Macaca fascicularis: one gene and its partners. The protein of the gene in region 6 interacts with the protein of the main gene of each other region in a pairwise test. Links are inferred from orthologs where the notes say so. Each region holds a gene or a part of one and is shown on either strand. Other genes may lie near its edges.

Evidence for each region.
Region 1: the proteins of RTN4 (region 6) and SNX15 interact in binary tests that used the Homo sapiens proteins (3 or more experiments, as listed by UniProt). The two-hybrid records come from large-scale screens. The link is inferred for Macaca fascicularis from reciprocal best matches to the Homo sapiens genes RTN4 and SNX15.
Region 2: the proteins of RTN4 (region 6) and SPG21 interact in a two-hybrid assay, tested with the Homo sapiens proteins (2 studies listed by BioGRID and IntAct). The two-hybrid records come from large-scale screens. The link is inferred for Macaca fascicularis from reciprocal best matches to the Homo sapiens genes RTN4 and SPG21.
Region 3: the proteins of RTN4 (region 6) and CERT1 interact in binary tests that used the Homo sapiens proteins (3 or more experiments, as listed by UniProt). The link is inferred for Macaca fascicularis from reciprocal best matches to the Homo sapiens genes RTN4 and CERT1.
Region 4: the proteins of RTN4 (region 6) and RTN3 interact in binary tests that used the Homo sapiens proteins (3 or more experiments, as listed by UniProt). The link is inferred for Macaca fascicularis from reciprocal best matches to the Homo sapiens genes RTN4 and RTN3.
Region 5: the proteins of RTN4 (region 6) and SYT16 interact in binary tests that used the Homo sapiens proteins (3 or more experiments, as listed by UniProt). The link is inferred for Macaca fascicularis from reciprocal best matches to the Homo sapiens genes RTN4 and SYT16.

Annotation. Positions count from the first base shown.
Region 1 is NC_088388.1:9,347,097-9,351,296, forward strand, and holds the start of SNX15 (sorting nexin-15), read right to left. Parts: upstream 2,801-4,200; 5' UTR 2,701-2,800; coding exon 2,602-2,700; intron 1-2,601. UniProt on the Homo sapiens protein: May be involved in several stages of intracellular trafficking. Overexpression of SNX15 disrupts the normal trafficking of proteins from the plasma membrane to recycling endosomes or the TGN.
Region 2 is NC_088381.1:41,561,080-41,564,579, forward strand, and holds part of SPG21 (maspardin), read right to left. Parts: intron 3,039-3,500; coding exon 2,893-3,038; intron 1-2,892. UniProt on the Homo sapiens protein: May play a role as a negative regulatory factor in CD4-dependent T-cell activation.
Region 3 is NC_088380.1:79,525,945-79,530,008, forward strand, and holds the start of CERT1 (ceramide transfer protein), read right to left. Parts: upstream 2,801-4,064; 5' UTR 2,799-2,800; coding exon 2,713-2,798; intron 2,572-2,712; exon of another isoform or gene 2,460-2,571; coding exon 2,066-2,459; intron 1-2,065. UniProt on the Homo sapiens protein: Shelters ceramides and diacylglycerol lipids inside its START domain and mediates the intracellular trafficking of ceramides and diacylglycerol lipids in a non-vesicular manner.
Region 4 is NC_088388.1:10,692,449-10,696,682, forward strand, and holds the start of RTN3 (reticulon-3), read right to left. Parts: upstream 2,801-4,234; 5' UTR 2,386-2,800; coding exon 108-2,385; intron 1-107. UniProt on the Homo sapiens protein: May be involved in membrane trafficking in the early secretory pathway. Inhibits BACE1 activity and amyloid precursor protein processing. May induce caspase-8 cascade and apoptosis.
Region 5 is NC_088381.1:129,839,454-129,842,953, reverse strand, and holds part of SYT16 (synaptotagmin-16), read right to left. Parts: intron 3,315-3,500; 5' UTR 3,171-3,314; coding exon 2,648-3,170; intron 1-2,647. UniProt on the Homo sapiens protein: May be involved in the trafficking and exocytosis of secretory vesicles in non-neuronal tissues. Is Ca(2+)-independent.
Region 6 is NC_088387.1:66,790,582-66,794,779, reverse strand, and holds the start of RTN4 (reticulon-4), read right to left. Parts: upstream 2,801-4,198; 5' UTR 2,650-2,800; coding exon 2,094-2,649; intron 2,046-2,093; exon of another isoform or gene 1,930-2,045; intron 1,510-1,929; exon of another isoform or gene 1,432-1,509; intron 1,049-1,431; exon of another isoform or gene 898-1,048; intron 1-897. UniProt on the Homo sapiens protein: Required to induce the formation and stabilization of endoplasmic reticulum (ER) tubules. They regulate membrane morphogenesis in the ER by promoting tubular ER production.

The DNA of each region.
Region 1 (4,200 bases), on a different chromosome or scaffold from region 6:
GGAGGCCGAGGTGGGTGAATCACTTGAGGTCAGGAGTTCAAGACCAGCCTGGCCAACATGGTGAAATCCTGTCTCTACTAAAAATACAAAAATTAGCCAGGCGTGGTGGCAGGCGCCTGTAGTCCCAACTACTCAGGAGGCTGAGGCAGGAGAATCACTTGAATACAGGAGGCAGACGTTGCAGTGAGCTGAGATCACGCCACTCAACTCCAGCCTGGCAACACAGCGAGACTCTATCTAAAAAAAATTTTTTTTTTTTTTTGTATTTTTAGTAGAGACGGGGTTTCACCGTGTTAGCTAGTCGGACCTAGGGCCTGACACCGTGTAGTGCCACAGGAAGCTAGGTACGGTGTGGCTTGTAATCCTAACACTTTGGAAGGCCAAAATGAGAGGATTGCTTGAGGCCAGGAGTTTGAGACCAGCCTGGGCAACATGGCAAAACTGTGTCTCTACAAAAAAATTTAAAATTAAGCTAGGCATGGTGGCACATGCCTGTAGTCCTAGCTACTCAGGAGGCTGAGGCAGGAGGACGGATTGAATCCAGGAACTTGAGGCTGCAGTAAGACGCGAATCATGCCACTGCACACCAGCCCAAGTGACAGAGCAAGACTCTGTCGCAAATAAAATAAAATAAAATAAAATAAAAATATAGGCCAGGTGCGGTGGCTCATGCCTGTAATTCCAGCACTTGGGGAGACCGAGGTGGGAGGATCACTTGAGGTCAGGAGTTCGAGACCAACCTGGCCAACACAGTGAAATCCTGTCTCTACCAAAAACACAAAAAGTAGCCGGGTGTGATGGCACACGCCTATAATCCCAGCTACTCAGGAGGCTGAAGAAGGAGAACTGCATGAACCCAGGAGGTGGAGGCTGCAGTGAGCTGAGACAGTACTACTGTACTTCAGCCTGGGCAACAGAGCAAGACTCTGTCTCAAAAAATATACACACACACATATATATATATATAGAGAGAGAGAGAGACAGAGGGAGAGAGAGTGAGAGAATGTGCTTTATATTTTATATATTTATTATATATAATACATTGTATATATAATATGTACACAAATATATCAAAATAATGCATGTTGCTTGGTTTAAAAAGCCAATGGGAGGCCAGGTGTGGTGGCTCACACCTGTAATCCCAGCACTTTGGAAGGGTGAGGCCGGTGGATTACTTGAGGTCAGGAGTTCCAGACTAGCCTGGCTAACAAGGTGAAACCCCATCTCTACCAGAAAATACAAATATTAGCTGGGCACGGTGGCAGGCGCCTGTAGTCCCAGCTACTGGGGAGACTGAGGCAGGAGAATGGTGTGAACCCGGGAGGCGGAGCTTGCAGTGAGCCGAGATCGCGCCACTGCACTCCAGCCTGGGCGACAGTGCAGACTCCATCTCAAAAAAATAAACAAATAAACAACAACACAAAAAAGCCACTGGGAAGACTTATAATAAAAGGTTACAGTTCCTTGCCACATCCTTCCTACCCCAACCCCACCTCCAGTCTATCTTCCCAGGGACAACGTTTTTATTTGCATTTTTTAAAAGGGGTGTGTGTGTAAGTGTGTGTGTGCATTTTAATATTGAGCTGGGGTCTCACTGTGTTGCCCAGGCTCATCTTGAACTCCTAAACTCAAGCAATCTGCTCCCTCAGACTCCCAAAGTGCTGGGATTTACACGCATGAGCCACTGAGCCCGGCCTTATTTGCATTTATTTTTAGGCATGGAAAAGACAAACGATTTGGGGAAAGCATATTTTAAATAGCTAAGATTCTGCACTTAGACACTTTATAAGTGTCCTTACGTGCCTGCTTTGCTTTTATAGTTAACTAATGCACCAGCTTAATAGTCGCCTAGTTGAAAATTCTAAAAGTACAAAAAACTTACAGTAAAAAGTCTTCCCCAACTTCTGTCCTCAGTGACACAGTTCTTCTCCCTGGGGACCTTCTTGTTACCCGTTCTTGTATATCATTCTACAGGTGTCCTGTTTTACTATTTTTAATTATTTTCATGGTTTCCTCCATGTCTCTCTATAAATTGTGCTTATGATGTTGCTATCGCTTCATATATCAACTCTAGCCTATCTATCTTCCTGCTGTGACCTTGATATGGCGACTTACTCCTTAAGTCCTTCCGAACTGCATGAATTTTTTTTAACCATTGACCAGTATTATTTTCTGAAAAATTAAAAACGGTTAAACTCGTTAAAGGGATTTTATGTAAGATCAAACAAACCAATAAACAAAACTTACTCTACGAGACTGGAGTACTAATAATTGGGTTAAACCAGAGTTTTCATGTTAATTTACAGAAATTCACAGTCTGATGCCCAGACACTACACGCCGGGCGTGGGCATACACGCCTTGCTTGTCCGGGAACGGCCATCCACGCCCTTTTAAAAAAAGACAGCGCCCACTCACGGCCCCGCCCCGCTGATGGTTAAAGAAGTAAACGAACCCTTGTTCGTTTACTGCAACCGCCGCTTAAAGGGGAAACCCATTTCTGTCGTCTAAAAAGGGAGTGGTGGCTGCAGCGCCTTTCCTTAAGGTAAAACTCGGCGCCCCTCTAGTTAAAAGGGTAAAGTAAGCGCTGGGCCCCACCTCACCTGCGCGGTTACTTTGTACTCGGTGTAGCCCTTGGGGTGCGTCCTGGGGTCCGACACTGTGTAGTGCCGCAGGAAGTCATCCTTCGCCTGGCGGGACATGAAACCGAGCTGGAGCGGAGCGGAACGCCGGACTCCGCTTCCTCCCTGTCCCCACCCCTCCGGCCCGGCCTCCGACCGCCGCCGCCTCGCCTGGGCCTGCGCCCTTCTTCCTCCGGCCCAGGGATTTTATCGCAAGTGACAGCGCTGTTCCGATCCCGGGTGCGCGGCCAAGGGAGCGTCTGAAAAGTTCCTTCTCTGTGGTGAAGCGTAAACCCAAGTCATTGGAAAGATTGGTGGGGGAGGTTGTGATCACTCGTCTCATTTCTGCCGGGTGATCAAGCCCACCCTATCCAAGCGTAAACCCTTGTCACAGTCCTCCAAAGGACCTCTCCCCTGCTTCCCAAATCCCTGCTTTCATTCATCCACCCAACTCCTATTGTGCCCATTATGTGCAGGACAACGTCAAATTATTTCCCTGTCAGGATTCCCTAATTCATGTTTTCTGGAAAGTAGGGAAGCAAAGAACGCTGGAGAAGCAGGATGGTGTCATGGGCTCTGAGTCACGACTCTTACTAGCTGTAGGAGTTTCCCATAACTACTCAGCCTCAGTTTCTCATTTGTAGAATGGAGATGTTTATAATAGAATCTATGTAGGTCAGTGGAGCTTTCTTGCAATGGACTTGCTGCCAGAACACAGGTGTCGTGAAAATCACCATTAAATCAAAGCCAAAATGGGGGTTTGGTGCCGTGGCTCACACCTGTAATCCCAGCATTTTGGGCGGTGGAGGCAGGTGGATCACTTGAGGTCAGGAGTTCAAGACCTGCCTGTCCAACATGGTGAAACCCCATTTCTACTAAAAATACAAAAATTAGCTGGGCGTGGTGGCGCACACCTGTAATTCCAGCTACTCCAGAGGTGGAACTGGCCGATGGCTTTAGCTCAGGAGGTTGAGGCTGCGGTGATCTGCAATCGCACCACTGCACTCCAGCCTGGGCAACAGAGTGAGACTCCATCTCAAAAGAAAGGGTGCAGGGGAAGGAAAAGACTCAGCTCAACATTGTCATCTGATTTGGGCAAGTCCACCACTACTGGCTATCTGATTTACAAGTGTGATGGGATCCACAAAAGAACCATCGAAAATTTTGAGGAGGCTGCTGAGATGGGAAAGGGCTCCTTCAAGCATACCTGGGTCTTGGGTAAGCTAAAAGTTGAACGTGAGAGTGCTATCACCACTGCTACCTCCCTGCTGGCAATTAAGACCAGTCAGTACTGGTCTTATGTGACCATCATCAATGGCCCAGGATGCAGAGACTTTACCAAAAACCTGATTACAGGCACATCTCAGGCTAACTGTGCTGCCCTGATTGTTGCTGCTAGTGTTGGTGAATTTGAAGCTGGTATTTCCAAGAATGGGCAGACACGTGAACACACCCTTCTGGCTTACACGCTGGGTGTGAAACTAATTGTTGGTGTTAACAAAATGGATCCCCATGGGCCATTCTAAAGAGGAGAGATGGGGGCCGGGCGTGGTGGCTCACACCTGTAATCCCAGCACTTTG
Region 2 (3,500 bases), on a different chromosome or scaffold from region 6:
CACTGAGCCGGGGCCAGGTGTGGCTCACGCCTGTAATCTTAGCACTTTGGGAGGCCATCCTTGCTAACACGGTGAAACCCTCTCTCCACTAAAAATACCAAAAATTTTTAGTAGAGGCTGAGGCAGGAGAATGGCGTGAGCCTGGGAGACGGAGCTTGCAGTGAGCAGAGATCGTGCCACTGCACTCCAGCCTGGGTGACAGAGCCAGACTCCCTCTCCAAAAAAAAAAAAAAAAAAAAAAAAAATTTACTGAGCCAGGTGCAGTGGCTCATGCCTGTAATCCAGCACTTTGGGAGGCCAAGGTGGGTGGATCACGAGGTCAGGAGTTCAAAACCAGCCTGGCCAAGATGGTGAAACCCTGTCTCTTACTAAAACTACAAAAATTAGCCAGGGGCTAATTTAGCCAGGCGCCTGTAATCCCAGCTACTCGGGAGGCTGAGGCAGGAGAATCACTTGAACCTGGGGGGTGGAGGTTGCAGTCAGATCGTGCCACTGCACTCCACCCTGGGCAACAGCGTGAGACTCTCATCTCAAAAAAATTTTTTTTTCTGTAGAGGCAGGGTCTTGCTATGTTGCCCAGGCTGGTCTAGAACTCCTGGACTCAAGCAATGCTCTTACCTCTGCCTCCCAAAGTGCTGGGATTATAGGTGTGGGCCACTGTGACTGGTCAGATCTTTATGGATTTCTATATATGATCTTTAGTTTATATTTATTCCATTAATTTCAACTGTTAAGAGCCATCTTGGAGGGTAAACACTAATTTCTCTAAACCTATGATGAAAATTACTTAGATGAGGTGCAAACTACCTTCTGATGCTTATTATCATTGGGACAGCCTTGCTGGAAGTTGAGCTTCCCTCAAAAGGAACACTGAGTCACCTTCCAGTTAACTCTCTAAGTTCTCTCCCAGCCCCATCACTTTCTTATCTTTTGAAGGTGATGAGGTCTAAGTACGCTCTGTAAGGGGTAGACCCTGTTGGCTTTGCTCACTCCTGTATCCTCAGCGTGTGGCACACAGTAAGCACTCAGATACTTGACAAAAAGCAGCTCGTGTGCCAGAGCACAAACTGAATGGGGGCTGTCTTGGCAGTCTAACAATTAGAACAGCAATAAAAATCACCAAAAATAATGAGCATTATTTAGTGCATTATCTGGACAGGAAGGATTTGTAAAGTAGCTAATGTATACAAGAAATTGTTGCATGAACACTGAGTAACTACTAAGGTAACATCAGAAAAACTAAAAAATATCAGAGTGCAATCTTAAGTAGATGTGAAAACAATACTTCCCTATACATTATTTGAAAACACTGATCATACAGATGTGTTTAGTCATTGGGCTTTTTTTTGAAATAGGGTCTTGCTCTGTCACCCAGCCTGGAGTACAGAGGCATGATTGTGGTTCACTGCAGCCTCGAACTCTTGGGCTCAAGCGATCCTCCTGCCTCAGCCTCCTGATTAGCTAGGACTGCAGCTGTGTACCATGGTATCTGGCTAATTTATTATTATTATTATTTGTAGAGATAGAAGTATTATTATTATTTGTAGATTTCTTTCATTGCTAGCAAGGCGAGGCTCCAGCCTTTAAAAAAAAGTCCTGTGGCCAGCTGTATGGCATCATAGATACCCATCAATTACTTAAAATGATAAAAATCAATGAAAGAATGGCTCCTAGGAAACAAGTACCCCCCTGGCTGCTCCTGAAGCATTTCCACCATTTCTTTTTTTGGTTTTTTTTTTTTTTTTTTTGAGATGGAGTTTTGCTCCTGTTGCCTAGGTTGGAGTGCAATGGCGTGATCTCGGCTCGCCGCAACCTCTGCCGCCCGGGTTCAAGTGATTCTCCTGCCTCAGCCTCCCGAGTAGCTAGGATTACAGGCATGCACCACCATGCCCAGCTAATTTTGTATTTTTAGTAGAGACGGGGTTTCTCCATGTTGGTCAGGCTGGTCTCAAACTCCCAATCTCAGGTGATCCAGACATCTCAGCCTCCCAAAGTGCTGGGATTACAGGTGTGAGCCACTGCACCCAGCCTCATTTCCACCATTTCTATCTTTTGGAAGAACAGACTAATATCAAGGGTCATGATGTGCAGAACATCTGTTGACAGACCAAATGCTCTAGTCTTTCCATTTGGAGAACATATCTCAAGGAAAAAAATCGGTAAGGGAAAAAACCCAGTAATTTTTACAAAGATTTACTGTAGAATGTGACGAAGAATTGGGAAAAGTCAAATGCCTAATAAAACTATGTCAGTCAATACACGGAACTGTTTACACAAAATAATAAGTGGGATAAACAGAACATGGTATTAGTTATATAGAAGTACTGAATAGAAACAGCAAAAGTGTATTAATGAATATTAAACAAAATTTAAAAATTTAGGGTAATAAAGCTGAATTTAGAGTTCATTCAATTCTTTCCTTTTGTAAAGGTAATTGTTTCTAATTTTAAAAGTCAAGAAACAGCCGGGCACAGTGACTCATGCCTGTAATCCCAGAACTTTGGGAGGCCAAGGTGGGCAGATCGCTTGAGCCCTGGAGTTAGAGACCAGCATGGGGCAACATGGCAAAATCCCATCTCTACAAAATAATACAGAAATTAACCAGGTGTGGTGCCACGCATGCCTGCCTGTAGTTCCGGCTATTTGTGAGGCTGAGGTAGGAGGATCGCTTAAGCCTGGGAAATAAAGGCTGCAGTGAGCTGTGGTTGTACCATTGCACTTCAGGCTAGGTGACAGAGCAAGATTCTGTATCAAAAAAAAAAAAAAAAAAAAAAGCCAAGGAAGTTGCAGAATATAGAAGTAGATGTAAGCCTTCCCTTCCTAATATACCAAACACTCAAAAGCCAACATTTTCAAAATTTCACTGAACAGAAATAATAATTTTGTTCTTACCTGTTTGCAGTCCAAGTTTGGTTGAAGATAGAGGTGTCACTGAAGGAATTGCAGAGGATTAGGGAATGGACTCTAGGAGATTTGTGAGTATATTCAGCAAATTTCTGGGCCAAAAAGCCTCCCAAAGAAGCGCCAAAAAGATGAACCTAATTATAAACAAATATGAGGCAGATCCTAAAATACTGATCAATCTTGAACATGAGTATTAAAAAGTTGCTTCAATTAACACTAACCACAGAATATGTTATCATTAGCCAATACACTAAAATATTTACAGCAGCTAGAAATTTAGAAAATATTGTATTTAAATGCAATTTACACAGTCCATCAAGAGAATACAACTCTGCATCCAAGTTATATAATTTAAAAAAATATCATTCACAGATTGCATTAGAAAACAAAACCAGACCAGGCGCAGTGGCTCATGCCTATAATCCCAGCACTATGGGAGGCTGAGGCAGGCGGATCACGAGGTCAGGAATTCAAGACCAGCCTGGCCAGCATGGTGAAACCCCGCCTCTACTAAAAATACAAAAAACTAGCCAGGCAAGGTGGTGCGTGCCTGTAGTCCCAGCTACTCAGGAGGCTGAGGTAGAGAATCACTTGAA
Region 3 (4,064 bases), on a different chromosome or scaffold from region 6:
TTTCCATATATTTCAGATTACCATATGGAAAATACCCTTTGAACTGGTATATTTCTAATATAAATTTACCCAAGCCCATTCCAAATCCACCCCATTTTGGGTGACAAACGAAACAAATTGTACCGGGACTTATTTACATTACTCAATGGAAGGAAAAGAACAAAAGCCGAGTTCTGATCCTTGTTTAAATTACCAGGTGAATATGAAGAATTCAAAATATATAATTTACATTTAAAAACATGCACCATACTCAGTATGAGTATATATATTCAATTTAGAATACCCTTGATTAAAAAGTTTCCAGAAAACACTGTATATAACCATAAATTGGTAAATCTCAGGAAAATTTCCTTCATAGCTATTAGCAAGAATACCAAAAGCTGTATTCCTATTCATTCTACATAAGAAGCAACAGTCAAAATTTAAGTTATTCACCTTCCACAGAGGTGATCAAATGCATTTGTATGCATTTAAATATCGAGATTGGTCTTCCATTTTTTGATCTATAGTATACCTACTCCACATAAAGTAAAACTCAGAGCACTGGTGACTTTTTCCCCCAGTCACTCCATTCCCCCAACCCCCAAAAAAGTAATTATCAGTAGGTCAAAATTACAATTTGTTTTGTAAAATACTCAACACATCACAATACTAATATGGCAGTCAGCTTCCCATCTTATGAGCAGTGATGAAACTATCAAAATCACTGAGAAGCAAGTAACCCACTTCCTATTATCAACTGAAAATGTGTACCTACTACACAATGTGTTCAATAGAGATTCCTAAATTACAGGATACATTTAATGTAAAGAAATCCTGAGGAGCTTCTCGTTACTGAAAACCTTGCATTGAAATTTCAAGAATGATCACAGCATCAATATACAACTAATTTTTCGGCTATACAAATAAAAGTCAACACTTGCAATCCTTAGTTCTGACTACTCATGCCTTTTCTAGTTCCCTTCTCATTAGCTTTCTACAGACATTATAAAAGCATTATATTAAACAATTCCACAAATAATGTCCAAGTGATGTGCCAAAGTATGAATACTGGAAACAGGGTGATTTCTTAATAGCCAGTAGCTGCACATGACATAGTATCTTATGACCAGCTTGTTGAGGGACTGGCCCAGCTCCCCCTCTCCAAGTTAACTGCTAGCTCCAGCCATTTCTAAAAAAGTTTAACAGGAAGGGGGAGAGAAGTCCAAAAGGCTATGTGAATCTTCTTATAGCAAAAACTTAAAAAAAAAAAAAATCCCAACCATGTAATATCAAGAGATCACCCATCCGCAGTTCTATAATGGCTGCTTTCCTAAAATTTTGATACACGGATTTTAAAAAATACATAAAAGGTAAAACATCTTTTCCCTACCCTGGACCCCTTACCGCAAAAAGAGTTTATTATTAAATAATGCTCTTCTTCCTGGACTAAAGATCAGTCTCCTTTCTCACATGTTTCAAGTTACTATGAATATTTCCTGTACCCATCACGTGCCGATTCAATATCTCTATTCTGAACTAAGGTACAGGGTGAGGGAGAAAGTCCTCCACATTAATCTGTCTCACTACATCTAACCTGGCGAGTTCAACACCTCAAATTTCAACACCAAGCTGAGTCGCTCCGGCTTCTGTCGAAACAGCTGCGTCCGCAGTGCCCCCCAACCTACTCGGCTTGGCATCCTCAGACAGACCAACCTCTTTTAAGAGGTCCGACTTGAACCGCTCCCGTGCCCAGTCGTTCGGACACCGCTGAAGCCCAACCCGGATTCCTTACACCCGGGACAGCTGCCGCCCTAGGTCCCAAGGCACGGCACGCATCTGGTCTCCCAAACTGGATCCCCGGTTGATACACCCTTTCCCTGGTCCTCGGCTGCCCCCGACGAGCCCTCGGGCAGCAAGGACAGGCCCCCTATATCCCCGCCTCATCCCTAGTCGCCGCAGCAGTACTCAGCCTCGCACCCCGGCACGTTCCGCGCCTCCCGCCAGCCCCACCCCACCGCCTCAGCGGATTGCCTCGCGGCAGGTGAGTCTGGCCAGGGGTCCCCTGGCACCACCGGTTGCTCACCTTACTGAGGACCCCGCAGCGCTCCACAGGCGGCCCAGATTCCGTCTCTGGATCCTCCTCCGAGCCCGACGAGTTCCAGCTCTGATTATCCGACATGGAGGCGCGACAGCCGAGCAGGAGACCGGCCCCCGCTCCCTCAACTGCGCCGGAGGAGGCGCCCAGTCCTCGGGGTGAAGGGTCGGGGGATGGCGAAGCGAAGAGTGCCAGCTCCGCTGTGGGGGGGAGCAGGAGGAGGGACGAAGTCCGCTCGCCGCGCCGCCGCCGCGCCTGACACCGAGCGGAGCGGGGAAGGAGGACGAGCGGTGAAGGAAGCCTACCCTTCCAGCCGTCAGCCGCCGCCGCCGTCGCCGGGACCCCTGCGTTGCGCCCGGTGCTGCCACCCGAACTTAGACCCCTCGATGCCAATTTCAAATAGCGAAGGAAAAGGGAGAAGAAGGGAAGAGAAAATCCGGCCGCTGAGACCCGAGTACACTCACACCTCCGCTACCGCCGCCATCTTGCTGCCTGGCCCACTATTTACCCTCCCCTCCCCTGTCCTTTCCCCTCCCCTTCGTCCTCCCATTCTCCCCTCCTCCTCCCCGCCCCGTCCCCCTCCCGGCGTCTGACGCGACACGCCAAGCGTGCGGGATCCTCCTCCCGCACCCTACCTCCGGCTCTCCCGGATGACGAGGGGTAGAAAAGTAGGAGGAGCGCAGTAAGGAGAGGGCGGGATAGGGATGCCGCTGTGCTGCATTCTGGGAAGGGCGTTGGTTCGTCGCTCGCCCAGCCTCCTGGGAGTTGTAGTCGCGATCCTGAGGTAACGGGTGAGTATCCCGCGCGGGGATCGCTTGTCGCCTTGGGGACTTGTCAGTCGGTGGGTGGGCTTCGTTTGACAGTTGCGTGACCTGCCTCTTGGCCTCGCTTCTATCCTTGCCTTGTGTGTTTATGACGAACCCTCCGGGCTTGCGGGCCAGGACGTGAGAGAGCTTTCTGCTGAAGATGACGGGCCTGCGTTGCAGGGCTGCTTGTCGAAAGCCCGGGAGCGCGTAGCCGCTTCCGCCTCAACCACGGGATGGGGTTTTGTGAGCTCCTAGTGCCAAGGGGGTTTTCTTTCCACCAGACCACCGCTGTAAATCTCGAGGGTCTTACCCATTAGAAGTTAGAATTCACATTTGACGTTTAAAGGAAGAATTTCCTTAGTACCTTCTGACAAGCACGCACTTCGCATTTTTAGATTTCTAGAATTTTCTTTGTGGAAAGTAATTTTGAGGTTGTCAGAGAATAAATAACGTTAGAAAGGTTTTTAAAGTAAAACAAGAATGTCAGATGATAGCCTGGGATTTTCTCTTAGTTGTAAATGAATATCTTACTGAGAACCACGTTAACCATGCCTGCCCCTCAAAGATAGGAAAGTTTGGATATATAGAAACTTTCTCGTATTAGAAATACGAGATTAGGGGATTAGGCAATAGGTGGCTATTTTTAAGACTAGGGTTGAATTAGCAGAAAGACCAAAAGAAGATCTAACAGCTCTTGTCAGTTGTCAAGGATAACTTTGATGGTGAGACCTTTGACTTTGTAGCTTCAGTAATTTCCTCTCGTTAGCTATTTTAATATAGTCGAGTTCCTGATAATTGCCAAGAGTAAAATTTGTTATTAAGCCTTAGAAAGAATACCTTTTTTACTACAAGGATGGGACAATAGGAGCGAAATTTCGAGTCTAAGGGAAAACGCTAGCCGAGTGCCGTGGCTCACGCCTGTAATCCCAGCACTTTGGGAGGCCGAGTTGGGTGGATCACCTGAGGCCGGGAGTTTGAGACCACCCCGTCTCTACTAAAAATACAAAGATTAGCCGAGCAGGGTGGCGGGTGCCTGTAATTCCAGCTCTTTATATCCTGGTTTCAAATCTAGGCTTGATGACCTTTTCCCATATCCCAGTCTCCTATTTTTTACTTCCTCAATGGGGGATTAATTACGATTCTAAATGTTTGGTAGCATGAAGCTAGGTTATCTCTATCGT
Region 4 (4,234 bases), on a different chromosome or scaffold from region 6:
CTAGCCATAATTTTGTAGGTATAAATCAGACTCTAACATAAACGGCACGCTGATAAGTAATCAATCACAGAATTAACCACATGCAGTATTCTAATATAAATGGTTACCTGAGAAGTCTGTCAGAAGTCTTGCTAGGACATGTTTTACCAATTCAGTCTTGCTAAGGCTGGAAACAGCATCTACCCTAGAAGTTTCTCTGACAGTAGTGGGTTTTTGGGAAATCCCAAGATCGGATCCATTCTTGACATTATGTTCTAGGATGTCATATGATCTCTGTGGCCAAGATTCTGGAGCAAATGTGAAAGTTTGCTTCAGTGCTTCTTCAGAAGGCAATTCTGCGTCATGCTGTGCAGAAGCTGACTTCTCAACCTGTCTTTCACCTAATTCTTTAAGAGCCTTAATTGTGAGCTGTTCTTGTTCTAAGTCAAGAGATGCTACTGGAGTACCTTGGGTAGGGAAAACACTTAGAGGCTCACTTCCATTTGTTTGTTTGTTTTGTTCACTGTATTTGCTTCCAATGCCTTTAATTTCAGAACCACTGGACTCACTTTCATGTAAGACTTCTACAGGAGGAGTTGTTTTAAAGTCTGTCATCTTCTCTGATATTGCTTTAAAGGCATTTCCTTCACTATCTACTATTCCTTTATCTCTGGTTTCTGTAAAGGCTGCTATCAGGTCCTCTGGGGAGGAATCATCTATATGTTTAACATTTTTCCCATGTAATGACTCCAAGTAGGCAGATGTTGTCACATTTAATGAGAATTCTGTCTCATTAAAAACATTTGGAGACACTGTTGAAGGAAGTTTGGGGTTCTCAGTAGTAACAGGCTTTTCAGGAGCAACTTCACTCACATCTTCTAAGCAGACATTTATATTGGGTACTTTTGCTGCCTCACTAGCTGGACTCCTTCCAAGAATATCAGGTTGCTCTTGATGCAGCTCAGAGTCACTGACCAACTCTTGAAAATTTTTAGATGTTTTTTCTACTCTCTTACAACTGGGAATCTCTTTGATTTCTCTTTCACCTGTTTTTACAACAGCACTTGGAATGGAAACAGGTTTTTCAGCTTGAATTTTCTTATTTTCAAATGATAGATCTGCTGTGATGTCCTCTATTACTGTGTCATCAGACTCACCAGAACTATCAGCTTCTGTGATTTCTCCCAATGCAGAGCTCTGCCAGTTCATTTCATCTTTCAGGTGGTCATCAGGTAAAACCACTTTCACTGTGGCCACTCCAGAACCCAAAGAGTCACATTTCTCAGGTGGAGATCCAGGTAATTCTGCAAGTGTGTCACCCTGTTTCTGCATATTGCCTTGCACACCTTTGATACTGAATTCTTTTGTGGAATTGAAAGAGTCGGGTATAGGTTTTCCAGTGATAGCATTTTCTTGTAGGAGAGATGCTTCTGTCCAATCACCTGTTGATTCAGTGATGGGAGTGCTCCCATTAATAGAACATACAGGAATTTTCTGATGAGTGTTAACTTTAAGATTTACAACTGGAATTTCAGAATTATATTCACTCATGTCAAGTCCTGTAGTTTTTGTGATGCAGTCAGAAGATTTATCAGTCTGTTGTTTCACTTGGGGAACCAGATCCCAAGTCAGTATTTCGTTAGTAAAGTTATGCATATCATTCACGCATCTAGACACCTCTTCCAGTGCTGCATTTGTGTGTGAAAACTGCCTACTGAGCAATGCAGACATTTGGTAACGTCCTGCCTCTTTATTTCTCAGTGGAAAAAGCTTGTCATTAGTCTCTGAAATGTCTTCGGATGATTCTCTATCAGTGTGCATAGACCAGCTACCAAAATCATCTGTGCTCTCCTTATACAAGTCTTTAAATTCTTTGTCAAATGCTGCTTTGTCAATAATTACTTCAAATGGTGATTCAGGGGAATCCTTTTCAATAACACCATCTCCTGAAACTTTGGATGGGGACAAAGAGTATGTATAAATGCCTTCTACCTTAGAGTATTCAGTAGGTGGTTTTTGGGCTGTTAGCAAAGTGAATCTGTCATCAGCATCCAATGCAGTTTTAGCTTCCCTACTTGATACCTCATTTGGGTTCTTGGTCTCTTTATCTATTTGCTCTTCCACTTGACCAATTTTCTTTGAAAGCAAAGCAGGATGCTCTGGGAAACTGGCTGGAATAGAAGGACGGTCACAATGAACTCCTGCTGCAAGAGAAATTGGAGAGTCTGACATGTTGTTGCTGATCCCCTGAGGCTTTTCCATCTTTTTCATATCCAGAAGATCCAAGTGGTCTTTTCCTTCTTTGGCTAAAATAGGCTGGCTCCCTAACACATTGCTTTTTTCTCCATGTAGTATTGTAAGGCCATTGTTATGTATTTCAGAAGATGAAAGAAAGGAAGATGTCATAATTTCTGAAGATGGCTCATCAGAACAAAGAGAGCTCAAGAATTTCAAAGAAAATAATTGTTTACCAGGTACAATTACACATTAGCTAGCCAAGCCAAGCAGCATGCTTTTTATTTTTTAAATTACATAAATATATATATATACACACACACAGGATGTATATATACACACATAAATATGTAACAAAATGATCAAGTTATCCTACAGGACATGCATAAAGCTGCCAACAGTGAAACAGAAAAGCCATATCATGCCACAAACTGCAAGTAACAAAAAAATTTCCTAACAAATACTTTTTGGACTACTTTTCCATTGTAAAGAGAAAGCATAAAGAAGGGCGGAAAGATTGAGAAATCTTGGGAGGTTTTTTATTATTTTGGTAGAGCTAATCAACAAAAGCAAATAATTGATACAAAATAAATAACCTGATACTATAAAGAGTTGATAGACTTTAATCTGTAAGCTGAACAATTCAGAGCACAGACTGCCTCTGTAAATCCACTATTATAGTCTCACAATCTGAGAAGGAAAAAAACAAGTGGCCAGACTTGTTTTTGATTTTTAGGAGATGCAGTAGACCCTCCCTGAACCTGAAAATGAGACTAGAATTATTCTATTCTATCCACAGGAAGAATCTGTCCCATGTACAAATAAATAGCTGTGATGTTCTAAACTAAAGCGTACTGAAAAAGGTGGACCCCCTCCAAAATCTTTTTTTTTTTTTTTTTTTTTTAAATACAGAGTCTTTTTCTTGTCGCCCAGGCTGGAGTGTAATCGCATAATCTCAGCTCACTGCAACCTCCACCTCCCAGGTTCAAGTGATTCTCCTGCCTCAGTCTCTCAAGTAGCTGGGATTACAGGCAGGTACCATCAAGCCTGGTTAATTTTTGTATTTTTAGAAGAGACGGTGTTTCACCATGTTGGCCAGGCTGGTTTTGAACTCCCAACCTCAAGTGATCTACCCACCTTGGCCTCCCTAAGTGCTGGGATTATAGGTGTGAGCTGCCACGCATGGCCCCTCCAAAATCTCTTGTACTAACTTGTCATTGAAATCAATATTGTACTGTGCAAATTGATTTCTTTGGTTAAGACAGAGTTAACTGGGCCGGGTGCAGTGGCTCACCTGAGGTCAGGAGTTCGAGACCAGCCTGACCAAAATGGTGAAACCTTGTCTCTACTAAAAATATAAAAAAATTAGCCAGGCGTAGTGGCAGGCACCTGTAATCCCACCTACTCAGGAGGCTGAGGCAGGAGAATCCTCTGAACCTGGGAGGCGGGCACTGCAGTGAGCTGAGGTCGTGCCATTGCACCCCAGCCTGAGTAACAAAAGTGAAACTCCATCTCCACACACATACACACAAAAAAGAGTGACCTCCAGAATTACTTTTAAAATAGAAAATATCCTTCTCAAAGTAATATGTTGTCTTAGTAGTTAATAAGCCATCAATCTACCACGCTGTTTTCTAACTTCCTACTCTAACAAGTTTTTACTGGGGAAAAGGATCAAAACAAATATCCCAAGGGCTGGTGCTTTCTTACTTCACTTATTTGTTTGTATTTGAGACAAGGTCTTCCTCTGTCCTCCAGGCCAGAGTGCAAGTGGTGCAATTGTGGCTCATTGCAGCCTTGACCTCCTGGCCTCAAGCTATCCTCCCACCTCAGCCTCCCAAGTAGCTGGGACCACAGGCACATGCCACCACACCTGGCTAATTTTTAAACTTTCTGCAGACATGGTGCCTCGCTACATTGCCAGGTTGGTCTCAAACTACTGGGTTCAAGCAACCTGCCCACTTTGGCCTCCCAAAGCACTGGGATTATAGGCATGAGCCACCAAGCCCAGCCCTGGGCG
Region 5 (3,500 bases), on a different chromosome or scaffold from region 6:
CAAGTTTTTCCAGTCTATAGAAAAGGAAAAACACTTCACAACTCATTTCATAAAGTCAACATTACCCAGAACCAAAGATATGGCAAGAAAACTACAAAACAATATCCCTAATAAAAATAAATGGAAAAAAATATTTAGCAAAGACTAAAAAATCAAATCCAGTAATACACTAAAGGAATACCATAACACGACCCAGTGGATTTTATCCAAGCTATGCAAAACTGGCTCAACTTTCAAAACACAGTGTAATTTATTTGAACATACTAAACAACAAAAATCATATGATCATCTCAATAGATGTGAAACAGCATTTGACAGAATTTAACATCCTTTTTTGATAAAAACTCTCAGGAAGCTAGAATACAAGGGAACTTCTTCACCATAATAAAGAGCATCTACAGAAGCCTGCACCTAACTACTGAGTATAAGAGTGAAAGACTGAAGGATTTAACACTGTTTAAGATTGAGGCAAGAATATTCACTCTCACCAGTCTTATTTAACATGATAATAGAAGCCCTATCCAGTGTAATCAGTCAAGAAAAAGAAATAATAGACATTGATATTGGAAATAAATAAAACTAGAGACAACCAAAATGTTCCTCAACTGATCAATCAACAAACTAGTGCATTCATTCAACGGAATACGGTTCAGCAATTAAAAAGGGAAAACTACTGAAACACACACCATGGATGAATCTCAAACACGTTATGACAGGTGAAAGAAGCTGGACTCAAAAGACGACAAACTGTATAATTCCATTTATATGACATTCTGAAAAAGATAAAACAGGAGAGGCTAAAAATGTATCCACACGTGTCTGGGGCTGGAGTAGGGAAAGGACTGACTAAAAACAAATGTAGGAGAATTTTCTGACATAACAAAACCATTTTATACTTTGGTTGTGGTGGTTACAAGACCGTGTCTATTTGTCAAAAAGCATAGAACTATATACTAAGGATGAATTTTATTATAGTAAATTATACCTTTAAAAAGGAAAAAAAGAGAGAATATGTGTATGTGTAAATGTTAGAATGAGACTGCCTGAGCTCTGCTTCTTCCTATAATAAATGTGGATATTGGACAGATTATCAAACTCTCTCGCCATCAATTTTCTCAACTGTAAAGTGAGAATAATAATAGCATCTACCTCTTAATGTTGTTAGCTTTCCTTGGTGCTATTCCATTGTTATTATTTAATCTCTCACCCAACACTGTGCTCATTGTTAAGAAAACACAAATGAATCTATGGCATGGTCCCTGACTTCCTGGAGGCTCCAATCTAGTGAATAAGCATCTCTGGAAGGGCCAAATGAACACAATTGTTTTACTGCCATTAGATTTTACAATTACAAAAATTAGCAAAATTTGCGGTATGCCAAATTCACATCAATTTCAAATATAGTTCAACCTTTTCAAGAATGTTCTAAAATAGGAACCAAAATTTCAACTCAAATCTAAGAAATTCTACTGCTGGCCCAGATATTTCTAGAATATCTCTATAGACAATTTTAAAAGACTCAAAATTGCAATTATCTATAGCTTCTCAGGTTCAGAAAGAATATCAACCTACCTCATTTTCACCAATTTATTCTAGCATTTCAATGTTACCTTAATTTGAATAAAAGTATCAAGAAAGCATGAGAAGAATATGAAATTGTGTTTCCTTATATGCCAAGACTTTATATATCTGAATAAAACTTTTCCCTAAAAAGACAAAGCTAATAGGAATCATGGAAAATGAATGAAGGGACTATGAGGTATTCCAGAAAAGTCTGCTCTCTCCAACAAGAGGGACATTAATAACTTTGTCTTTAGATCACATAAATGACTCACCAATCTGTGTGACTTATATGTGCATTACAACTACACACCGTGCACACATACCCAAATCCCTTCTGTGAATATCATTTACCTCTGTCCCTTAACCAGGTGGAATGTCCTTACTTCAAGGTTAGAGTATTAGAGGCATGAGAAATTCATGCTGGAACATACCACAGCTACTTTTAGAGAGTCAATTACATTTTTATCATATTCAATATATATTTATTGAAGGCCCAATATGTGCTCAGTTCTCACAGCATAAATCTTTATCGGCAGTTTTTATTAAATGTGTCCTTACCATTCAGAGCTAAAAGAAAATCAAGCTATTCTTATTTCAAAGATTTCCTATCCACTGTCATCTCACATCACGTCTCAGTGAAACACTGTGAGAAGTGTTCTTGGAGTGTTATCAACTAAAAATTCTGCAATAAGTATGGCTTTTTGCACAGGATTTCACACTGAATAATATAGTAACATCTAGAAATTCCTAACCTAGAAGAAAAAAAGAACATTTTACAAGATATTTTTAAAAGCATGACATGTGCACAAGGGGCTTCTCAAACAGAATCCACAGACTCGTTTTCACCATTTCACTTGCTCAGAACTATTGTTTTGAAATATGGAACTCCCAAACTTGGATCTTCCAAAGTTTTATATATTGAAAATATTCCTAAGGATTATATCTCTCAATCAGAAGCCAGTATGTGGGAAGGTAAAAGAGAGAGAAAAATAAAATCCACATGATAACTAAAAACAAGTCAAAATAAAATAAGTAGAAATACTCTTTGGAGGAACGCAGAGAAAATGATGACTGGCTAGCTTACCTTGCTTTTTTCCATTAACAGTTTCTAAAGTACCAGGGAGCTGGCTGTCAAAGCCATGTTGAAGGCCACTTCTTTGCTTTTCAAGGTGATGCTCTTCCTCCGCAATAGAAGAAAGCACATGTGGTGACTTGTGGTCATCACTGGCCCGATTGGGCCACTGGGACATTGTGGAACATGAGTCCTTTGCATGTTGGCTAAGCCTGGGGCTTGAATTTTGGGCAGAGTCCTGCAAATCACTATTACAACATGAGAAATGATCCACTTCAAGAAACAAGGAATTTGCATCCTCTTGACTCCAATCATTGTCTTGTTCTTCATCTTCAAAGTATGTTTCCTGAATCTGAATATTATCTAAGTCCTGATCTAGTTTGTCACTCAATTTAGAGTCTTGTTTGCTTACGTTAACCAGCGAAGCAGATAACATATCTCCTGCTTGCTGGAGAGCTTCATAAACCCGAGATATCCAGGAAGAGAAAGGCTGGAAGAAGTTCTGAGCATCCTGAGACGCCATGGCCAACACCATGGCCAGCTATCTGATGTCTACAGTGTCCACTTGTTCAGTTCCTTCAGTGCTCTGGATTGAATGTGAACTATAGAATAAGCATGTTGAGAAATTAATTTGGAGGTCTCTTAATGGCTGTGAATATTTCACTCTCAAAACTTCCAGCTGAAACAGAGGAAAGAAATACTTACACCTGTTAAAGTTACAACCTCAGACCCATCACCAGATACCTACAGACAATGTCAAACAGCATTTGGACACGAAAAGGGATCATCATGGAAATCTTAAAATAGTTAAATAAAAATGACTGTGAAAGCCTAGATGTAGATTATTTCAGTGCCTATTCACCTC
Region 6 (4,198 bases):
TTCCAAGCAGGCAGTTTACACTACTTGATTCTTGACCTTTTATACCTAAAGGTCCTACTGCTAGTGGGACACGCTTTCCGTCCCCGAAGTAGCAAGTACTTATGAATGCATCTAATTTATTATGCATTCTCAATCTCTAACAAACGTGATTTTTTTCCCTTCCAAAATAATTTCCCAAGATGAAAACGGCAATAAAACAATATGCCTAATAATAATATACAATCAGGGACTTAGGTGAAAGAAAGAACTTGAAAACTATTTTACAGACCATACATACAGTCATGCCTCACTGAACAGTGGGAACAGGATCTGAGAAATGTATTGTTAGGCAATTCTGTCGTTGTGCAAACATCAGTGTACTTACACAAACCTAGATGGTAGAGCCTACTATACATCTAGGCTATATGGTATAATCAATTGCTCCTAGGCTACTAACCTATACAGAATATTACTGTAGGCAACTGTAACACAATGGTATTTGTGTAGTGCTTATCTAAACATACCTAAAATACACTGTACAAAGGATTAAAAGATGGCACACGTGTACAGGGCATTGGCCATGAATAGAGCTTGCAAGCCTAGAAGCTGCTCTGGATGTTAGTAGCAAGTGAATGTGAAAGCCTAGGACACTACCATGCACTACTGTACAACTTACACTCTACAGTTAAGCTACACTAAATTTATCTTTAGATATATTTCTTCAACAATAAATTAACCTTAGCTTACTGTAACTTTTCTATTTTATAAACTTTTTGGCTCTTTTGTAATAACGTTTAACTTAAAACACAAACACCTTTTATAGCTATAGAAAAAAATTTTATATCCTTATTCTATAAGCTTTTTTCTACTTTTTTTTTTTTTAACGTTTGTTACAAACTTAAGATACAAACACATTACCCTAGGCCTACACAGGGTCAGGATCAAGACGTCGCTAGTCGGCAGGAATTTTTCAGCTCCATTATAACCTTTCGGGGCCACCGTTGCATATGCGTCTGTCCTTGACCTAAAGGTCGTTATGCGGCACGTGACTGTATTTTGATTCTGTAACCTAAAACATATCACTTCTGAAAAACTGTATTTCTAACCAATATATATGAAAATGTCTGTCTCAAAACACTTCTCTATGTCTCATGGTAAATCTGCCACGAGTTCAATTAGCCAATTCCTGGCAAGGAATCCACAGGTTTGCCCTTCTTTAGGAATGTCAACCATTTTGCCTTTTATTTTTTTCTTTAAGATTCAATTATGATGCACTAAGAGGCTGGGCCAAGTCCACACTAACATCAATTCCTCCGACCCTGCAGCTGAAACCCTGGCAGAACTACGCCCCCTCGGAACACAATGCCCAGATCCTCTCTCCCTGGCTCGGTTTAGCTCGTGGGGAGCAGTCCACATCACACCCCGGTGAGCTGGGCGGTGGCAGGACTTCACCAGAACTCTCTCCTTCCCGTTTCTCCACGCACCACACCACTGGAGGCGCTCTCCCTTCACTGCGGTTGGGTCAATGTGGACGTTTTCCACTCGGCCAGCTCCCCACAAGCACAGGAGGGGGAGGGGAAGCGCAAAGGAGCCACCCACGCCAGGCAGGAGGTGAGAAGGGAGCCCAGGGCCGAATGCAAGCCAACGGACCCGCAGCACAACTGCACCTTTTCCAAAGGAGCAACCCAGACGAGTAGACAAAAGCACCTCCTAAAAAGGTCTGGGTGCCAAGGCCTTTCCTTCCTTACTTCGAACCCAACCAACCCAATAAATCCACAACCCTGGTTCCCGGGTATACACCCGGCTCCTACTACGGGTGGGTGCCTAACTTCCGAGAATCGGTACGCTGGGCACCACAGAGGGTAGAAGTGGGAGCCGGGTGCGGTGCACGTGTTCCCCGAAACGAAGACGGACAATGAGAACAAGCCCGGCCTCCAAGGGCCGCCCCACCCTTCTCCCCGCGCCTCCAACCAGGAGGGGCGCCATCGCCCCGAAGTCTGCAGACAAAGCCCCCTCGGGGCGGAGAGGAGGGCCCAGCCCAAAGCATCTCGGGCTGCACACAAAAGAGGGAGGGGCGCGAGGGGCGGCGCAAAGCGAGAGGGCGCGGCACTCACCCACGGAGCCCGAGGAGCCCCTGCGCTTGGGCGCGGCCGGGGTGGAGGGGGGCGCGGCGGGAGCCGGGGCGGGCGGGGTCCACGCGGGCTCGGCCTGGGGGCTCACGCTGGCCGGGGGAGGAGGGGGAGGCCGGGCCGGAGGCTCATCGTCCTCAAGGAGCTTGGAGGGCGAGACTGCGGCAGCAGAGAGCGAGGATGGCGCGGGCACCGTCGACGACACCGGGCTCGGGTCCCAAGACGGCTGCCGCTCCGGGGCGGCGGGGGGCGCGGCCGGCAGGGGTCCCCGGGGCGCCGGCGGTACGAAGTCATTTCCGAAGTCCATCAGGGGGGCGCCGGCGGCAGGGGCGGTGGGCACCGGGGCCGCGGACAGCCCAGCGGCGGGCTTCCTCTCCAGCACCTCCAGCTCCTCCAGGTCTTCGTCCTCGTCCTCTTCTTCCTCCTCCTCTTCTTCCTCCTCGTCCTCGGGCTCCCTCACGAACTGGTACTTGAACGCGGGCTGCGGCCGGGGTGGGCTGTCCGAGGACGAGACCAGAGGCGACTGGTCCAGGTCTTCCATGGCTGGCGGGTGGAGATGATGCTGCAGCTGCTGCTGCCGCCGCCGGAGCCGCGTTTCAGAGCCGCCGGCGGTTGTGGGGGTTGGGGAGGACTGAGAGGGGCTGGGCCGAGCGAGCCGAGGGACCTACTGTGGTGACGGCTCCCGGAACAATGAGACTGCTCCTCCTGCCTCCGCGCCGGTGATGCGCCACCCGCCCTGTCCCCAGTTGCCGCCGCCACCGCCCAGACGAGCTAGGAGAGAGGCCAGCGGACTCTCCGCCCAGTTTGGCGTGACTCACCCTACCCGGGGGAGGGCAGGGACTGGCGCGGGAGGGAGAGAGCCAATCGGCTACAGGATAGAGAAGATAGGCGTCCAGCCAGGCCAACGGAGAGGGAAGGAGATGAAAGTGGGTGGGGATTACGGCACTTCCTCTCTCTTACCGGCGGGGATTGCGTTCAATGGGCGGTGCTGGGAGCTGGGAGCTCCACCCCCACTTTGAGTAACTGTGAGTTGGGGTGGGGTCTTGGCCTTGCCGGCAGCTGGGGGTCCGTCTGTCGTAGAGCACTGGGAAAGGGGGCGGGCTGCTAGCTGGGAGGGGTCGGCGCGGTTCCTGGCGCGCCACCGGAAGGGCGTTATCCTGGGGGACTGGGAGTGGAAACTTTCCTCCCGGGAAAGGAAGAAACCCGACTGGAGAAAGCTATTAACGGGACTGTGAAGTGGGCCCTAAGGATTTTTAAAGATTTTAGAAATAAAATATTATTTTTTCACTTAATGTTCCAAACCACATCACTACTACTACCGCCCTCAAATAAGAAAAAACTTGTTTTTTTGACAGACTCACTCAGTCTAAACCGCAGCCCCTGGAATTGGTAGGCAAAACAGCTGTGCTGAATTAACTGGGGATCTGGGGCCGACCATTTGAAAGTCTGCTCTTCTTCCAAAGCGAGTTTGGGGCCCTGCCTGATGCTGGACTCTTACATGGTAGGAGAGTGAGTCACCCAAAGAGAGAGGCAGCGGGAGACCGGAAAGTGGAAATGCAAAGATGCCTTGGAAAGCTAATTTGGTTCACGTTACATTTCAGTCACCTTAGGTTCATGAGTCAACATTTCGGATGATTCAGGCCTTCTGGGAGTCAGGAAGCCCCATACTCATTGGTTTGATACGCAGGAATAAGCATGATCCCCATTCCACTTTTTCTGAGGCTGGAGAGTTTAAAGAAAGTAATTGCAGAACATGTAAGAATCAGGATCTTTCTGATTTACCTTTCAAAAATATTCACTGCATGCCTACTCTAGAGGCCCTGCAGAGAAAAGGATAACCAGCTTTCAAGTTGCTCAAAGTCTAAATCTGTGCTGTACCTGACAGGTATTGGCTACTTAGTCACTGGCTACTTGTGGTTACTGATGGAACACTCAGAATGTATGTAGCTAGGCTGAAATTAGATGTGCTGTGTCAAATGCGCACTGGATTTCAAGAATTAGTACCCCCCAAATGTAAAATATCTCAGCTTTCGTATTGACTTAATGTTGAAATTGATATTTTGGATATATTGGGATAAGTATAATATTAA